3 linked regions of the Danio rerio genome follow. The protein of the gene in region 1 purifies or fractionates together with the protein of each later gene. This does not show direct contact. Links are inferred from orthologs where the notes say so. Each region holds a gene or a part of one and is shown on either strand. Other genes may lie near its edges.

Region 1 (3,758 bases):
ATGGAGCAATCGCTCGCTTTTAAAAATATCAAATCATCTTGTTTAATTCTGCCCCTTTTCGCAGCCCCTCACGACAGAATTTCGCACGCACAAACTCTAGTGTGACCGTAGCTTTAGTTTCGACTTCCCGCCCAACTTAACAAGGGGGCGGAGCCAATAGCTCCCCTGCTTTGTGTTTGGCAACAGACAGGCAGACAGAGAGAAGGAACATGAGTGTGAGGACCAGCATTCAGCGGTACATGTACGACTGGGACACAGACCAAGCAGAGAATACAAAAGAATTTGTGTCTTTGTATAGTTTTGCAGCTAACCGTGTGCTAGTTTACAGTTCCGAGCTTGTACACCGAGACTAACAACAACGCACGCTGAATTAACTTTAACTGAGGCACTGGATGTGCCGTTTAGAGCCGTGACAAGGCACACCAGACACGCACATTCGCATGTTATTTAAAATTAACCTGCGGGTCGCCGAGCAGCGCTTCTGGTGTGCGACCTACAGGCAAGGTCATTATTTCCAATACGGAGACGCGCACTTGAGGCAATGCACTCACGATTTCCACCTAGTTAAGATGACAGGGAGTTCCTGTGACCGCAGGAAATGCAAACGGCTGAAGTTTAAGATAGACGCAATGAAAAGTACACAAACCCACCTAAAGTTAGAAACAATGGCGCCGATGAGCGATCATGTGGTGAATGTTGATCTTGTGTTGAGCCCAATGAGCCTTACATCTAAAAACAGAGCAGGGTATTCCTTTGGTGGCATCGCTTTGACTCATACGCTGAAAGTAGCAGACGTGAAACAACAAACTGTGGATATGGTAATGTGCGCCTGTCAATCAATGTTGGTGGGCGGGGGGACCGAACTCCTACGTTAAGTTGCTGTCAATCTAAAAAACGCTCCAATTGGTCCACCGTTTTTAAGTTGATAAATTGAAAAAAATGACTGGGTGTGTTTATATCCCAACAATATGACAGTTCAAACAGCTTGAAAAGTAGATTTTTCACCCTAGGTGCTCTTATAAATAAATATTGATGAAAACATATCAAACTGTAGTAAAGTTGTGTCGTTTTGAAATGCACTAACGTTATAATACAATGTAAAGTAACTCAGCGTGTGTACATGAACAGATTGGCTTTAATCAACGATAATTTTGTCGTTTTCATAAGAAATAAAGTTTATAAAATGGCATCGTGTTGTGAGGACTGAGGAAACGGTCAGAGCTGTTGATGATGGGAGGAGATTTGAGGGGCTTTTTTCAAATCCACAAACAATCCAAAACCACCAATGGGCGGCTTCACACGGAGAGAATTGCGAACAAGTGTTGTGGGGGTTGTAGTTTTAGCTTACCGCGTTAAACAGAATTGTGGACGAGGAGGAATCCCGCATAAACTACAACTACCGACTTTCCCTGAAAGTCTCCGCGCAGGCGCAAAGCAGCGGCTTCGCCAAATGTTTTGTTTCCACGCCATATTTGTTAGCCGGCTAGCTCTCGCAGGAGGGGCTCCGTCTCGATCCTGATCTGAATCCGCCATCATCGGGGCTTCGTCGTGCAGAATCATCTCCACGTCCGCATCTCTCGCCGCAAAAACGCGTTTATCCCCGCTCAGCCACGGTTTTGGCCTGAAGGTCGTCGCGGAGTTTGAATAAAAACGCAGTGATCGGGACGCGCTCCCTTGAGATCGGGGTAGGACTGTGCCTAGCGGGGGCTCTCGCTGCTCGGCGGAATATTTCTCTTCGCTTTATTTGCTGTCAAACACCAGTTCTCGGTAAAATGGCTTGCGGAGCCACTCTTAAAAGGACTATGGACTTCGATCCGCTGATGAACCCCGCGTCCCCGAAGAGGAGGAGATGTGCGCCCATGTCGCCGTCCAGCTCCAGCGCCTCCCCGCAGAAATACCTGCGCATGGAGCCCTCGCCCTTCGGCAGGGTGTCTTCAGCACTCACCACAGGTCAGTCCGCTGCTCACACACACCCGTCGACCGGAAAGAGGCTGGAAAACCGACTGAAAACCGAGCATGGAGGTGTAGTTTTTCCGCTGTTAGCAGAGCAGCTAACGCTATATTACACATCCAAACACAGGAGCCAGTTTCCTTCTCTGGCGACACACAGTCAATCAATCATCCGTCATCAAACTGAAGTGATTATTAGGCTGTTTCAGGAATTCTGCTATTTGTTATTAGCGGACATTTCCGTAGACTTCGAGTCGTTGCTAGTGTTTTCGGCTCGCCTGCTGATAGTGTTACATTAGAGGAGTATATTGATAAACTCGTAAGTGTGTGTGGATGAGATATAAGGCTGCTCCTCCTGCAGTTTTACCCTATCTCTATGTGGTTATCAGTGTGAATGTTCGGGTTTTTGTGAAGCACATTAGTCAGACAGTCGCTTCCGGAAGTAAACTCCGTTCATTTCCTCTTTGGGAAAGTAGATTTTTATCTATATAAATCATTTAAGAGAGTCCTGCCGTGAACTCAAGATTCTTTATATCATCACATACTCTATACTCGTGTTGATTAGGAGATTTTTTCTAGTTAAAAATGATCTGCACAGAATTTAAAGGGACAGTTCACTCAAACGTCAACATTTCCTTATTTACTCACGCTCGAGTGCATCTGAATTGATTCTCTTCTGTTGTACACAAAGTGAGAACAACATTTCTTATGAATGTTGGAAAACAACAGCCATTGACATTCATAGTTGGAACAAACAATACTATGTGAGTCAATGGCTGTTTTTCCTGAACCCTTCAGAATATCTCCTTTGTGGTCAACAGAAGAAAGAAGCAAATAGGTTTTTAACAAAGTGAATAAAGAGAAATCGCTGACATGGTTTTCATTTATTGTCTGTCTCTTTAACAGATTTGTATTAAAACATTACCCCTGATGAGTTGAGTGCAGGGGTGATGTACTATATTAAGTAAACTGAATTTAAATTGATTATGGAAAATCTGACTTTTTCAGCAAGTGTTAAGGCTGATTTATACTTATGCGTCAAACGCCGGCGTATGCTACGGCGCTGATGCATAGCCCTTCGCCGTGGCCATCGCCGTCACTGACGTGCACCTCTCAAAAAATGTAACTACATGATGCAACAATGCGTAGCGCAAGCTCTGTGATTGGTCGGCTTGGTAGCGCTGACGAGTCGGGGCGGGACCGAGAGCTGCGCGAATGGCGCGAACCCAATGTAGCGATTGTTTACAAGTGTGGAGTCCCGTGAAGGAGCTCCGGATGGAAAGTTTTGTTTTGTGTTTACCTCATAGTTAAAGTTGCTGCACGTCCGCCAGTTGCTGCCTCAAAATGAGCGAGTTTGAGTCACTTGTACATCCAGGAAGTGTTCAGGAAAAGCAAAACAGCAGCGAAGAAACTCGACACAGAGGAACATTTACACCTCACTGCCCACTAGCGTTTCAGAAGTGTTAATGCAGACCAACAGAGACAGCGCGCAGAAGTATGAATGCACAGCCACGCGCGTTGCATGCGCCGTGGGTTACGCCGGTCACTTGACGCAGAAGTGTAAATCAGGCTTTATGCTGTGTTCACACAAGATGCGGCGAGCGCGGGTAAACCACGCTATTTGTATGTACATAGACGCGTGAACATTTCAAGTTTACTCGATTCATTCGCGCGTAACATTCACTTCGTAACAGACGCAAATTCGCATGATGGGTGGGGTTCTGTCTGCCCTGTGACTCTAGCTTCGGTGCTAAACAGCTAACATGGATTTTATTGAAAGAATAGCTTTGTTTATGTGCTTTTATGAA
Region 2 (3,658 bases), on another chromosome or scaffold:
CAAAACATCTGGAGCACATACATGCTTTCTTTAAAAAAAAGTTGTATGTATTATGCATGTTTTTCTGTAGAAAAGTTTTCATATGTAAGATAAATATTGATTCATACAATATTTTATTTATTTATTTATTTTATATAGCAAAGTTTATTTATATTAAAATATATATAAAAATAGTTTTTAAGCATCTAATCATTCACATCACTATTGAGATGCATCAAAAAATAATTACACAAAACAATTACACCAGTTGCATGTGACCTGCATAAATACAGATCGAAATCCATTTTTTGGAAAGTTCATTTGCACAAGTTTGAAAACGCCCTTAATGTAATGTGTGAAACATATATATATATATATATATATATATATATATATATATATTATATATATATATATATATATATTATATATAAAGGAACAGCTAACCTGGTGATTTTGTTCATATATATTTTATTTATTCATAAAGACTTGATTACATTGTGAAGTGTTTATAAATCACACCAACCTTTTTATATACACAGATACCACATGGATCCTTCAGGCACTTTTGTCCAGTGTGACGCGAGAGCAATCGGCTCAGCATCTGAAGGCGCTCAGAGCTCTCTTCAAGAGGTTTACCACAAGGTAAATACCAACTGCTTATAAACATCTTGGTCTTTTATCTGCAGGTCATCATCAATTTTTGATCTCATTTTGGCTATATACTCCCACATTTTTTATTTTTTTTATTTTTTATATATATATATATATATGAGCAATATCACACTCGTAGCAGTGCGATATGGCTGTATATCGGCAGTGCCGATATACAGCTATATCGCACTGCTACGAGTGTGATATTGCGTTTATACAACAGTTTGACGGCATTATTGTGTATATAAAAACAAAATCAAACATGGATAGTCTAAAAAACCCTTTTGCATGAGGAACTACTTTTTTTCCCGGATTCTAATCATAAGCTGACAGTTAAACAGTTGAGCGTGCATCTTTTAAAATTTAGATCTCTAGTGCCTGCTTTTTGCTGGTTGTATGTGGGCGGAGTAATACACAAAGGGTATAGAGGCTGTAGGAGTTCTGATATTGCAGGATATCGCACGGCTATCAGCCAATCAGATTTGAGAACCAGACAGATCTGACAGACAAAACTGTTGTATAAATGTAATGTTGTTCTGGTTCTCAAATCTGATTGGCTGATAGCCGTGCGATATTCTGCAATATCAGAACTCCTACAGCCTCTTTACCCTTTGTGTATTACTCCGCCCACATACAGCCAGCAAAAAGCAGACACTACAGATCTAAAGTTTAAAAGATGCTTGCTCAACTGTTTAACTGTCAGCTTATGATTTTAATCAAATGTGGAAGAAAGTAGTTCCACATACAAAAGTGTTTTTGAAACTCTCCGTGTTTGATTTTGTTTTTATATACACAATTATGCCGTCAAACTGTTGTATAAACGCAATATCACACTCGTAGTAGTGCGATATGTCTGTATATCGGCACTGGTGGAAGACGTGCGATGACACGAGGCCGCAGGGCGAGTGCATTAGTGCCCCCACCAGTGCTGATATACAGCCATATCGCACTGCTACTCATGTAATATTGCTCATATACATATATTATTAGCCCTTTTAAGCAATTTCTTTAGTCTACAGAACAAACCATTGGTATACAATAACTCGCCTACTTACCCTAACATGCCTAGTTAACCTAATTAACCTAATTAAGCCTTTAAATGTCACTTTAAGCTAATAAGAAGTGTCTTGATAAATATCTAGTGAAATATTATCTACTGTCATCGTGGCCAGCAATCTGTCATACTGTCATTCCAGCCGCAACCCATTGCTTGGAAACACCCATAAACACTCATTCACACACATACACTACAGGCAATTTAGCTTACCTAATTCACCTATAGCGCATGTGGGGAAAACCGGAGCACCCGGAGGAAACTCACGTGAACACGGGGAGAAACATGCAAACTCCACACATAGATGCCAACTGACCCAACCGGGGCTCGAACCAGCGACCTTCTTGCTGTGAGGCGATCGTGCTACCAACTGTCACTATAATGCCCTACTACAAAATTTAGTTTTTATATTAATTACAGTAATATTATTATATAATATGCAAATTTGTATGATTTATGTACAATTTAAGTTGTACTTTGTCTACCAAACTAGTTGTTCTAGTTGTATCTGTATTACAACGTTTAAATTAAAGTTAAAAGTATTTTGTATTATTTAATGTGTTGAGCTTTTAGTTACTATACTCTCAAAGTTTTTCTGCCCAAGTCCACAATTTTTTATTTAATAATAGCAGAAAAATATAATAGCAAACAATATCCACATTTTCCCTGGCCCCACTTCTAGCTTATATATTTTATATTAGTTTGTGTTTGTTTCTGTACTGCATATCAAACATATGCATATTAAATGAAATCCATCAGATCCCCAATGTCACAGCTAGGTTATTTCCGGATGGTATTTTCACAGAGCAAAGTGTTTCTCCCGAGAGAACCCTACAGATCAAATTGGAGCCCTGTGCTCAGAAAATAAGAGTCCTTTTTTTAAATCCACCCCACCCATCTCCCCATTCCAGTATGTCATGCCTCTACTAGTGTAACCTTGCCCATGTGACCCTAAAATCTAATAAGCAGGACGCACTGTCCAAAAGGCTTCTTCATAAATCTAATTGCTTCCAAGCAAAATTCCACAAGTTACACTATGGATGTTGCTTTTTCCTCCCGCTAAACAAACGTCTTTGTCTTTTCCAGTCTATGACGTTAAAGGATGCCATTAAGTCTTCTCTCACTATCCTGAAACAAGTGATGGAGGAGAAACTCAATGCCACCAATATTGAGGTAACAATGCTCAAGCGATCACATGGTGTTGGTCATATGAAATATAATTTAATTTAAACATATTTCTAAGTCATGACTGTTTTCTTCTCTTTCCCTGCAGCTTGCCACAGTAGAGCCGGGCAAAACCTTTCACATGTACACAAAAGAAGAGCTGGAGGATGTCATCAAGGATATCTAAACGTGCTAAGCATAACAGATGTTCAATATGAAAAGTCCAGTGTAATTTTTGTGTGAATCATCACACAGCAGAATGGATACATAATACTCTGACTGCATTGTAGGGTTTGCCTGTTCAGACGGGAATCGAATCTTTATACTTTTCTTTTTCCTTCTGTCAGTCCCAAAATTTCTATAGTTCTGTACAAGCACAGGACAGCAGATATTGTCATTGAAATAACTGGGGGGTTCTTTTTGTTACCAATCACTGCGTTAATAAACTGTTGTTGAAAATGGTGTTTCAATAATTCTTTTTCCTCTGAGTATCTCACTTATAGGCTGATAAAAATAAAAGCTAATTTAATTATAAAGATATATATGTAATGTCACTTGTTATGTGTCGATAACCATTTTCAAGGTATACCGCGGTTTGGAAAAGTCAAGGTTTTAAACTTGCCAAAATATTCTGCCAAAGTTTTTACATTTTGTTTTCAGTTTTTTTTAGGACGGCAGTATCTTTAACAGAAAAGATATCCAAAGATGCCATTTTAAACTAATGAAGGCCGCAGAAGTCAATGATTCATTTGAAATATTTCTTAAAATAAAATATCCTGTGTTCAAAGGGGAAAAAGTTCTTGTTTT
Region 3 (3,658 bases), on another chromosome or scaffold:
TCAAGAGCACAGTGAAGAAAGCTTTACCGGAACTCATCTATTACATCATCCTTTACATGCAGATCACGGAGGATCAGGTTTGTGGGAGGTGTCAGTGTGTGTTGTCTTTTTATACACGTGTGTAAATATATATATATATATATATATATATATATATATATATATATATATATATATATATATATATATATATATATATATATATATAGCTTTTATCTTCACATTCAAATCCATCTCACAGATCAAGGTGTGGACGGCCAACCCACAGCAGTTTGTCGAGGATGAGGATGATGACACGTTCTCCTATTCGGTTCGGATATCAGCACAGGATCTGTTGCTGGTGAGAGCGTTGGGAGTTTGTTTGTGGATGTTTGAATGTTCTCCTTTTTTTTTTTTTCTTCATCTCTAATGCTTGCTTCTGTCTATCAGGCTGTTGCTGCTGAATTTCAGAACGAGAGTGCTGCAGCTTTAGCGGCAGCCGCAACACGACACCTTCAGGAGGCAGAGCAAGCCAAGAACACTGGCAGTGAGCACTGGTAAACACAAATGCTGCTTTCAAAAATATCAGTGGCTCTATTTTAATACATTCTCAATTTGATGAGTTAATATGGAATCCTAAAGAGCACCGGTGTGTTTTAATTGGAATAGACATGAATTTATATCAAAGAGTGTGCTGATTAGATTGCTTACTGCGATTTGTGTAATTGTTTAGTCAGCCTTTATCTCTGTATTTTTGTGTATATATGCAACATACACTGTGTATATAATTGACGGCAAAATTATTAGCCCTTGTGTGAACAGGGTTTCTGTGGAGACTTAAAAATACATTTCAAAAGCTAAATTTTAGGCCTTAAAAGGTCTTAAATTTACTGAAATATTGTTTTAAAGGTCTTAAACAAGTCTTAGTTTGCATATGTCCCTTTCTCCAATCACCAACAATCTGTCTCAAAAAAAAACTTTTAACCAAACTCTCTTTACCAATGTTTTTTTTTAGAAGAAGAAATTGTTTTAAAATTGTTCTTGTATACAACTATGGTTTGCTTGTTTTTACACATTATTTAAAATATGCGGCCAAGAAATCATCATGATTGGGGCATCATGGTGGCACAGTGAGTAGCACGATAGCCTCACAGCAAGAAGGTCGCTGGTTCGAGCCTTGGCTTGGTCAGTTGGCATTTCTGAGTTTGCATGTCCTCCCTGTGTTCACGTGAGTTTCCTCTGGGTGTTCCCCTACAGTCCAAAGGCATGCAGTACAGGTGAATTGAATTGGCTAAATTGGCTGTAGTGTATGTGTTTGAATGAGAGTGTATGGATGTTTTTTAGTGATGGGTTGCAGCTGGAAAGACATCTGCTGCGTAAAACATATGCTTGATAAGTTAGTGGTTTATTCTGCTGTGGCGACCCCTGATGAATAAAGGGTATAAGCCGAAAAGAAAATTAATGAATGAATGAATTGTTTTGGAATGAGGCAAGTAAACTTTAGGGCTATTGGATAAATCTTTAGTGTTTAGCCCTGTGTTGGTCTGAAATTTCATTTATAACTGTCTTAAAGAGTCTTAAATTGGACTTTGTAAAACCTGCAGAAACCCTGGTTTCATTTCCTTTTTTAATTATTTACAAACTGATTTTTAATAAAAAGAAGATTATTTTAAGCAGAATAGTTTTAGTAACTAATTAGTAATAACTAAATTTTTGTCTTTGCCATAAAGACTATTTTTAGATGCGTTATTAGATATAGTAAGTGTAGCGGTTGACCCAAAGATAAAGCTTTTGCAGATGGCAATACTAGTGACTCGTCAATCATCTTGCATGTGCATCTTGTTTATTTCCTTTATTGCAAATTTAACAAATGTTAAGACAAAACAAAAAGGATGAATTATATGATTCTATCAACAAACAAATAAGAGCTCCCTCACTTACCCCCTTGCTCCTCTAGCCACTCCCTGGAACGGGTTTTTTAAGTAATGACACTCATGTTTTTCGTTAGTCACATGACATCACACATTATACATAATATTTACACGGTTCTTATAGTAAGATCTAGTATTCAGCAAGTTTGGTTAGTTATGCTGGTTAATTTTTGGACAACAGTGGTTTATTCTGTAGGCAATCTAAAAAATTTATTTCTTGTAGGGTCTAATAATATATATTTTTAAACTGCGGTTATTTAAGCAAAACTAAAAGAAGTTAGATTTTCTCCAGAAGCAAAGAAAAATAGGAAATACTGTGATGATTTTTAAAAAAATATATATATTGAATGAAATCACATTGCCCATGCTACATTTATAAAAGAAAATTGATATTTAGTGCTAACTCAATATAAAAGCCAGTTTGTACTGTATTCAATCTATAGAAGTGAATTGAATTTGTGAGTGAATTGAATCAATTACTTATGAAACAGATGAAAACATGAAATATGTGTCCCGTCATAGTTAAAGGGTTCCCACAATTATTGAAAGTAAAATAGCTTAAATTTTTAGAAATCTTTATTCCAGGGTTAGAAAGTATTTAAAAACAAACATATGTCATATAAATATATGGATAATAGTAGTATTACCAGTATTTAATTTAACTTTAAATACAATAAAGATTTTCATAGCGCTACACATGCTGGGGGCAATTAAAAAGGTGCTTCATTTGAAAATAATGGTGCTTTAATAGTCTTGAATGTGTTCATGAACGAGCGGGAACCCTGTAGTAAAATAAACACATCTTACATTCTATCACAAGCAAACTTGTTCTTTTATTGTTTTGCTTCACATCAGTGTCTCTCCGCTGTTATGCAGGTGGAAGGTGCATGAAGCTTGCATGCTGGCGCTGGGATCAGTCAAAACCATCATCACAGAGAATGTAAAGAATGGTCGTGTGCAGTTCGATATGCATGGATTTCTTGCCAATGTCATCCTCGCGGACCTCAATTTACCTGGTAGCCTCCTTTAACATATTCCTTTTGATCGTACAACTTTAAACCACCCAAGAACAAAGACCGGATCTCATCCATGTGTTATTTGATTTCCAGCAGCCTCTCCGTTCCTGCTGGGTCGGGCCTTATGGGCAGCCAGTCGATTCACTGCAGCGATGTCTCCAGAGCTCATTCAGCAGTTCCTGCAGGCCACCGTGAGCGGGTTACACGAAAGCCAGCCACCCTCTGTTCGCATCTCTGCCGTCAGAGCTATCTGGGGGTGAGACTTCTGTTTCCACTTCATTTAATAGTTTGCAGAAACTGTGGTTTTATTTGCACCTCTTTGTTTATATTCTACTAATGCACAATAAATAGTTTTAGCACTGAATGTCGCAATGAATGCACACACAAAAATGTTAATATGTGGATTAAACCAAATAACCAACTTATTATTATTGTATTTGTATATATTGTTGTTATTATTGTTAAATACTGCCTTAAGTATTAATTTGCAATGCTATTCAAAGGTTTTTGGCAATAATTATTATTTCTAAAATACTTTAGTATGGCTGTTTCTAAATGAAAATTATTACACATAATATTTCTCTTTTACATAACAAACACTTTTTATTAATATAATTTTCAGTCAATGTAAGCAAGCACTAAGAACTGTTTTCATTGCATTAATGGAAAAAAAGAAATTCGAGCACCATATCAACATATTAAAATATTTTCTTTAAAAATTATGATGATTAA

The links.
Region 2: the proteins of akirin2 (region 1) and psma5 purify together in Homo sapiens (affinity purification with mass spectrometry; 3 studies listed by BioGRID and IntAct, with this or other methods). This does not show direct contact. The link is inferred for Danio rerio from reciprocal best matches to the Homo sapiens genes AKIRIN2 and PSMA5.
Region 3: the proteins of akirin2 (region 1) and ipo9 purify together in Homo sapiens (affinity purification with mass spectrometry; 3 studies listed by BioGRID and IntAct, counting the BioPlex papers as one, with this or other methods). This does not show direct contact. The link is inferred for Danio rerio from reciprocal best matches to the Homo sapiens genes AKIRIN2 and IPO9.

The regions. Positions count from the first base shown.
Region 1 is NC_133195.1:2,814,047-2,817,804, reverse strand, and holds the start of akirin2 (akirin-2), read left to right. Parts: upstream 1-1,468; 5' UTR 1,469-1,772; coding exon 1,773-1,950; exon of another isoform or gene 1,951-2,346; intron 2,347-3,758. UniProt on the Homo sapiens protein: Molecular adapter that acts as a bridge between a variety of multiprotein complexes, and which is involved in embryonic development, immunity, myogenesis and brain development.
Region 2 is NC_133186.1:38,737,528-38,741,185, reverse strand, and holds the end of psma5 (proteasome subunit alpha type-5), read left to right. Parts: intron 1-521; coding exon 522-624; intron 625-2,773; coding exon 2,774-2,860; intron 2,861-2,960; coding exon 2,961-3,038; 3' UTR 3,039-3,310; downstream 3,311-3,658. UniProt on the Homo sapiens protein: Component of the 20S core proteasome complex involved in the proteolytic degradation of most intracellular proteins. This complex plays numerous essential roles within the cell by associating with different regulatory particles.
Region 3 is NC_133186.1:26,936,893-26,940,550, forward strand, and holds part of ipo9 (importin-9), read left to right. Parts: coding exon 1-77; intron 78-241; coding exon 242-340; intron 341-429; coding exon 430-536; intron 537-2,786; coding exon 2,787-2,926; intron 2,927-3,019; coding exon of another isoform or gene 3,020-3,022; coding exon 3,023-3,182; intron 3,183-3,658. UniProt on the Homo sapiens protein: Nuclear transport receptor that mediates nuclear import of proteins, such as histones, proteasome and actin. Serves as receptor for nuclear localization signals (NLS) in cargo substrates.